2 linked regions of the Arabidopsis thaliana genome follow. The protein of the gene in region 1 purifies or fractionates together with the protein of each later gene. This does not show direct contact. Each region holds a gene or a part of one and is shown on either strand. Other genes may lie near its edges.

Region 1 (3,757 bases):
GGTTTCAAGGCAAGGCAAAAACGAGTTTGTGAACGAGGCTAAGTTGTTGGCTAAAGTTCAGCATCGCAATGTTGTTAATCTTTGGGGTTATTGTACACATGGAGATGATAAGCTCTTGGTTTATGAGTATGTCGTTAATGAGAGCCTCGACAAGGTCCTCTTCAGTAAGTTTTTCTTCTCAATGAGATTGGTTTGTATATTAGGATAAATGATATTGAAAGAAGATGGTTTTAACATGTAGTGGTTGCTTCATTTGAATGCAGAATCCAACAGAAAATCGGAGATAGATTGGAAGCAGAGGTTTGAGATCATAACAGGCATTGCTCGAGGACTGCTCTATCTACATGAAGACGCGCCAAACTGCATCATCCACAGGGATATTAAGGCTGGCAATATTTTGCTGGATGAAAAATGGGTTCCTAAGATTGCAGATTTTGGGATGGCTAGACTCTATCAGGAAGATGTAACACATGTCAACACTCGTGTTGCAGGAACCAAGTATGCTCTCTCTATTGTTTACCCTTAAAAAGCTCATTTACATATCTTCTTGTGTCATTTGAACTCTTTTTGTTTGTTGGTGTTTCATGGTAGAATGTTATTTAACGTCCATTGCTTCTTCTTTTCTTATGCGCAGTGGTTATATGGCGCCAGAGTACGTAATGCACGGGGTTCTATCGGTAAAGGCAGACGTATTCAGCTTTGGGGTTTTGGTTCTGGAGCTCGTAAGTGGACAGAAGAACTCGAGTTTTAGCATGAGACACCCTGACCAGACTCTTCTTGAATGGGTAAAGCCTCTAGTCTCATGCTCCATTGTTTATAGGGTTGTTGTGTGATGGCCTGACCCAGCCAATATTCTTCAGCGTAATATAACCAATGCTAAATTCTTTCTGAATGTGACACAGGCATTTAAGTTGTACAAGAAAGGCCGGACCATGGAGATACTAGACCAAGATATAGCAGCTTCAGCTGATCCAGATCAAGTCAAACTCTGTGTACAGATCGGACTACTCTGCGTTCAAGGCGATCCGCATCAAAGACCGAGCATGAGACGGGTATCTCTACTTCTCTCTAGAAAACCAGGACATCTAGAAGAACCGGATCATCCTGGTGTCCCGGGATCTAGATACCGTCGGCGAACACAACGTCCTTCAGGAGCAGCATCACTTGGAACATTGTCGACCACTGGTTCCAGCACAGATTCTTTCGGTTCAAACCTGAACACAAACACGGGAACTGGTGTTAGAGGTACCCCCGCATCTTCTAAAGCTTCAACTCGGAGTAATGCCACTAGAAGTGCTGGTCAGAGCTCTAGCTCAGACCCTCACGGGAAACGACATATGAGTTATTGAAGTACATAAAATCTGGTCATAGGTGATTGTAAATAGCGAGCTGCATATATAATATTTGTTTCATAATTTATTTAATTTTGCTTTTGAAAAGTAAATTAATTTATTTTTTTGACTGCAGTAGTGATTTAGTTTTGTAGTATGATTTGTTATATTAGCGGGAAAAAATTATGATTCATTTGTTACATTTGTATATTAGAATAATCACTTGTAGTCCCATTATCTAGGTCCCCACTATTGGCCTCGTACGTATAAAAGCATATTCTCTTGTACGTATTAACGGTACCTTACTTTAAACAAAACATAAAACTAAAATGTTTTTTATGCGTTTTAAATTATTTTTCAGTTAAAATTTATAAAAAGGGTTTTTGTAAACAATTATTTTGATAGTAAAAGAAATACTAACTGAAATTAGTGGAGAAAATACACAAACATATATTTAACTTTCTTTAATTTAAAATATACAGATTTTGTTTCTTTAATTTTTTTTTTCAAATTTTAGTTTTCATTTATTTTTAAATAAAGTATGACATGTCATAATGTTGTATTTTGATTTGTCATTAAAAAGGGGGTGAATCAAATTGGTTCACTCTAGAGGTGAACTTCGCCAAAGAATCACAGACCGTCAGTGTTAATCATCAGAGACATCAACGTAATGTTCCTCTTGGTTACTTCTTGCTTTAATGTTCCTCTTGGTTACTTCTTGCTTTCTACCTGATTCAGGTTCTTCAGTTAAAGTTTCTCTTTTCATTTTTGGGGTAATGCCCGGTTGGGCCTCGTTGTTTTATTTAGGTTCTAGTTCTAGGGCCTGCGTGTCCTTTTAGGCAGTTATTGCCATGTATGTTCTTTGGGCCATTCGTGCCTCTGTCGGCTTGTTGGGCCTTGTAATCGTTTCGGCTCTATTGGAAATTAAAAATAAAATATATATACTAACCCGTTTTGGGTAAAAAGTTAGGTCCACTAAAAGACGAAAAGAGATCCTACCAAAAAAAAAAACGAAAAGAGACGAGCCACACGCGTCACCTTCTCGTTTAGCCTCTTCATCTCCTTTCCTCAGACTCACTGTGTAAAAAGGCTTTTATTTTATCATCTTCAGGCTTATTCGATTTTCTTCAGATTTGAAATGGTGTCGTTCAAGGTCTCTCTCGTCTCTACTTCGCCTATTGATGGCCAGAAACCTGGGACTTCTGGACTCCGTAAGAAGGTTCGTTCGCTTTCGCTTCTTCTCCTTGTTATATCAATCCCCGCGTTCTTATTTCGAAATTGGATTAGAGATTTGAATTCTAAATTCAGATCTTCGCAACGAAATTGATTTCTTCATTTAGTTCCGATCTTATGGATTGAATGAATTTTGTGTGTTGGTTTTAACAATTTGATCCGATCCGATGAGATTTGAATTTACGCATTGTTTCGTAATTTTACAGGTGAAAGTGTTTAAGCAACCAAATTACCTTGAAAATTTTGTCCAGGCAACGTTCAATGCTCTTACTACAGAGAAAGTTAAAGGTAAAGATCTCTCTTACCTCTCTTTGATTGTTGTTCAGGTAAAGGTCGATGATTGCAAATTCCATCTAAGAAAGAGTATTTGTTAACTTTTTCAGGTGCGACACTTGTGGTTTCTGGTGATGGTCGTTATTATTCAGAGCAAGCTATTCAGGTAAAAGCTTTATATGTCCTTTGAATGATGGCAAACTGCGTTTTGCATTAACTTATAATTCTTAGACACTTTACTCTTATTTTAGTTGTTTTGAATCTTTTATTTCATAAAAAAGATAGTTCGTCAATACCACTTTATTTCCTATCTGGACAGATTATAGTAAAGATGGCAGCAGCTAATGGTGTTAGACGTGTGTGGGTTGGTCAAAACAGTCTGCTATCAACTCCTGCAGTATCAGCTATTATTCGTGAAAGAGTAGGGGCTGATGTGAGATATCTTCCTCTAAACTCATACTACTTACTTTTCTCTTGGGTTGTTATCTAAGGCTATGCATGTTTGCAACATGTAATGACGTGATGAGAAACTAACCCGAGATCCAATTTCAGGGATCTAAAGCCACAGGAGCATTTATCTTAACAGCAAGTCATAATCCTGGTGGCCCAACTGAGGTCAGTTCTCTTTTTGTTCTCACTCTTTTGTGCTTGTTCATTCGATACCCTCACTTAGTATTATTTGAATCCTAGCATCAGTTTTGTTAAACTATATGTTCATCTCTCTGCTTCCATATGCTGATTTCCTGCTATTCTATTCACAGGATTTCGGAATTAAGTACAATATGGAAAATGGTGGACCAGCTCCTGAATCAATCACTGATAAGATTTACGAGAACACAAAGACAATCAAGGAGTACCCAATAGCGGAAGATCTACCCAGGGTACCTAACATTTCTGATCTTATTACCTGTCATCATCTT
Region 2 (3,757 bases), on another chromosome or scaffold:
GGATGGGTGTACTCCGGATGATTTTACGTACAACATTCTTATCAGGGCACATCTTGGAGGTAGTGGTCTAATCTCTTCAGTTGAACTCATAGAAGAAATGAAGGTGTGTGGGTTCTCTGCAGATTCTTCCACCATAAAGATGGTTATTGATATGTTATCAGATCGTAGATTGGATAAAAGCTTTTTGGATATGCTTTCTTGATTGTCTAATCTGATCTACAAGAGATAAAGAAAATATTTTTGTTTGTAATTCCAAATCACTAAAATATTGTACCAAGCTTGGGGCTATTTATAAAGTAGATGTAGTTGTCCTCTCGTCACTGTTTTTGATCACACAAGATTTCAAATAGAGAGAGCAAAAACTCAACCAGAAACTTTCTAGAAATGGATTGTTCATAGTAGCAGACAAACTACTTTTGAGTTCTCACAAATGACAAGATACAGACAGAATCTGAAGATATATATGTTGGAAGAAAGATCATTTATTTGTATCACCAAGAAGAAAGGGGAACAGATTCAGGGCTCAAAGGTCATAGTCTCTGCCTCTTTCCTTGCTGCATCAAACAGTACAGTCGATAGATATCTTTCCCCGAAACTCGGAAACACCGCCTGAAACATTCAGTTTCACATCTCTTATTATAAGATCGACTCTTAAGCTTCCATGAGTTCACTGTTTGTTCTTTAGCTTTGGAAAAAACGTACCACTATAAGCTTCCCAGCATTTTCTGGCCTCTTTGCAAGTTTGATTGCTGCAGTAGCTGCTGCTCCAGATGAGATTCCCACCTACAGTACATAGGAGGAGACAAATGTGATAACGATCAAGGACCTGTTTTTATTTTCATGGTGAGGTTTGAATCATAATGGTGAGGATAAAGCTGAATCAAGACATTTTTGGCTTAACAGAAAAATCTGATGAGGCAAAATGTGAAGCACTTACTAACAGACCCTCTTCCCTAGCAAGAAGCCTTGCCATGTCAATGGATTCTTCACTTGAAACCTGCGTAAGCGTTACAAAACTATAAGAGGCAACTAAGAAATGTAAGGTGTGTTTTGGAGTCAGCAAGATGATATTGGTATGAAACCTTACCTGAACAACTTCATCTATAAGATCAACATCCAAAATGCCTGGAATAAAACCAGCACCTATACCTTGAATTTTGTGGGGACCTGAGCATTTTTACCAATGTGTTAGGCTGAAATTCAATGAATCTTGATATGAACACCAAAAGTTAGAAGGACCTCATAATGAACACTCAAGACTAACATGTGAGCAAAGTAAAAGAAGAAAAAGTGTGCCAAAGAGTTCCTTATTGAGGACAAACCTGGCTTTCCACCGGACAGAATAGGGCTTTCAACAGGCTCGACACCATACAGCTATAAGATGAGAAAACAAATGAGACAAGTTTTGAGTTTACTAAGAAAGAGTCTGATTGTATAAGTAAATGAAATTCACCTTTATGTTTGTGTTCTGTTCCTTGAGATACTTCCCAGCACCTGTTCAGGTACCACCAGTACCAATACCAGAAACAAAGCCATCCACTTTTCCACCAGAACCTTTCCATATCTCAGGTCCAGTAGTCTCATAATGGATCTGCAATGAACACAATACTATGTTATAAGTATCTGACTTCAAATCCACTAAGGCACTTAAACTAAATAGTAATTACCTTTGGATTAGCAGGATTCTCAAACTGTTGAAGCATATAACCATTAGGTGTTTTCGCCAAAATCTCCTCCGCCTTTGCAACAGCACCTTTCATACCTTTAGCCGGATCAGTAAGAATCAACTCAGCTCCAAAAGCTAAGAGAATGATTCTTCTCTCTATACTCATTGAAGCTGGCATTGTTATAACAAGCTTATAGCCCTTTGCAGCTGCAGTAAATGCTAAACCAACTCCAGTGTTCCCACTTGTTGGCTCAATCAACACACTCTAAAGAAAAAACTCAAAAGTTAAAAATCTCAAAAACTAACAAATGAAGAATCTGACTAATAGCTTCCATTTAAAAAAAAAAACAGACCTCTCCCGGTTTAATAAGTCCTTTAGCTTCTGCATCAGCAATCATACTATAACCAATCCTGCAACAAAAAAGAACAAAGTACAAGTATTTGTTTCTTTTGTCACTAACAGAGAAACTAGAAAACAGAGCTTTTAAACTTTTCGGAAGCACCTGTCTTTGACGCTAGAACATGGTTCCATCATCTCAAGCTTAGCAGCAACATGACCAACACAATCTTTAGCTACTTTGTTTAGATACACTAATGGAGTGTTCCCTATTAGCTGCTCCCAAATAATAAAAAATATCAATTAAAAAAAAAACATTTACTGACAAGACATAGTTGAAGAAAGACATAATCTTGGAGGTTACTTACTTCAGTTACATCTTTAGCGATTTTAGGAGCCACTGAAGCCATGTTTCAAGCTCACTGCTTAGATTTCACAAAAGAAAAAAGATGAATGCAATTGTTAAATATCATGTATAATTAATCAAAATATTCGATTAATATAGGATCATCTCATCATCTGATTATAGGTTTACAACAACAACAAAAAAAAAAAACTTATTTAAAACTTTTCATTTCACGCCAACTTTGTCCTGATCATGATGCATCAAAAACTTTCCAGATGAATAAACAAACCATGATATATATATCATCATACCTGAAAATATATCGATCTAGCAAATAAAAATCGGTGGGAATTGTGAACAAAGGTCGATCGGCTATGGAAGAGCAGAGAAGTTACGTATAAGAAAACGATGATATCATTGTTAGAAAGTCAACACTTTGACCCGACAAGAAACGTAGAAATGAAACGGATAACATTTTTTGGGCCCCACACAGAAACATATCTTCTGGGCCCATATTACAAACTAGAAAATTTCAGTCCTCTAGGCCATCATTAGATGACTAGTCTTCTTCTTAAGTTTCCTCTGCTTAAGCTTCACTTTAACATTAACACCATTGTCAATAAGAGCTTGAAGCACGACCTGAAGCTTACCTTCAATTTTATCTCCTTTCCTAGGAGTGTATATAACATCATGTATGTCATCTTCCAAACTTCTTTGAGCAAGAACTGCCCCAACCGCAGCGCAAGCTGCAACGTTTCTTCTCGAACCAAGATCGAATTTCATGTCTTTTGAAATCGAATGAGCCACAGTTACAACCTTACTAGTCACCCTGTGAATCACACATGCTCGTACAGACTCTTTCGAGATGTATATGTCTAAGCAAAACGGGTAGTGAAATGGCGCCGTGAGTTGGTTAAACGTAAATGTTCTTTCTCTCTTCTTCACAGCTTCATTAGGATGATCCGTCTCACCTGTGAAAGAGTCATTTCTCTTCTTGTATTCGTCACGAACTTCCTTCTTGTTATCCTTCTTTATCTTTGTTTCTTCTTCTTGGTTTTGCTCCTTTTTAGCGTTCTTGTGTTGATTCTTGCGGTGGAAGTCATAGTTGTATTCCTCGAATTCTTTTGAACCTCGATCGAGCTTGAAGAAAAGATCACCGCGAATTCTCATGTTATCGATTTCATCGTGATCGGGATCTTCATCATCGAGTATTGTTTCTCTTACTCCTTGTATTGTAACGGGAGAGTTTTTTGCAGTGTCTGCTTGGAACTGTCTCCAAGCTTGGGATAAAGATGATGAAACATGCCAAACATCATCATCCACAGTTTCTATACCACAACCACTCAAACCAGTCACTGTAACTTTACCACTTTCACTGTTGGAAAATCTCGAGGAGAAGCAACGCGGT

What was found. Proteins that work in one complex are often made in the same cells at the same time.
Region 2: the proteins of PGM2 (region 1) and OASA2 fractionate together in Arabidopsis thaliana (co-fractionation; one large-scale study listed by BioGRID). This does not show direct contact.

Annotation. Positions count from the first base shown.
Region 1 is NC_003070.9:26,671,439-26,675,195, reverse strand, and holds the start of PGM2 (Phosphoglucomutase/phosphomannomutase family protein), read left to right. Parts: upstream 1-2,029; coding exon 2,030-2,104; intron 2,105-2,313; coding exon 2,314-2,550; intron 2,551-2,770; coding exon 2,771-2,852; intron 2,853-2,947; coding exon 2,948-3,003; intron 3,004-3,156; coding exon 3,157-3,270; intron 3,271-3,389; coding exon 3,390-3,452; intron 3,453-3,598; coding exon 3,599-3,718; intron 3,719-3,757. Other genes in the region: AT1G70740 (Protein kinase superfamily protein), read left to right, coding at 1-164, 264-498, 635-821, 903-1,349. UniProt on the Arabidopsis thaliana protein: Catalyzes the reversible isomerization of alpha-D-glucose 1-phosphate to alpha-D-glucose 6-phosphate. The mechanism proceeds via the intermediate compound alpha-D-glucose 1,6-bisphosphate.
Region 2 is NC_003074.8:7,962,511-7,966,267, reverse strand, and holds OASA2 (O-acetylserine (thiol) lyase (OAS-TL)), read right to left. Parts: upstream 2,142-3,757; 5' UTR 2,078-2,141; coding exon of another isoform or gene 2,065-2,077; coding exon 2,020-2,064; intron 1,932-2,019; coding exon 1,668-1,931; intron 1,592-1,667; coding exon 1,555-1,591; coding exon of another isoform or gene 1,499-1,554; intron 1,495-1,498; coding exon 1,454-1,494; intron 1,375-1,453; coding exon 1,323-1,374; intron 1,168-1,322; coding exon 1,088-1,167; intron 998-1,087; coding exon 938-997; intron 784-937; coding exon 703-783; intron 610-702; coding exon 517-609; 3' UTR 361-516; downstream 1-360. Other genes in the region: AT3G22470 (Pentatricopeptide repeat (PPR) superfamily protein), read left to right, coding at 1-202; AT3G22450 (Ribosomal L18p/L5e family protein), read right to left, coding at 2,890-3,757.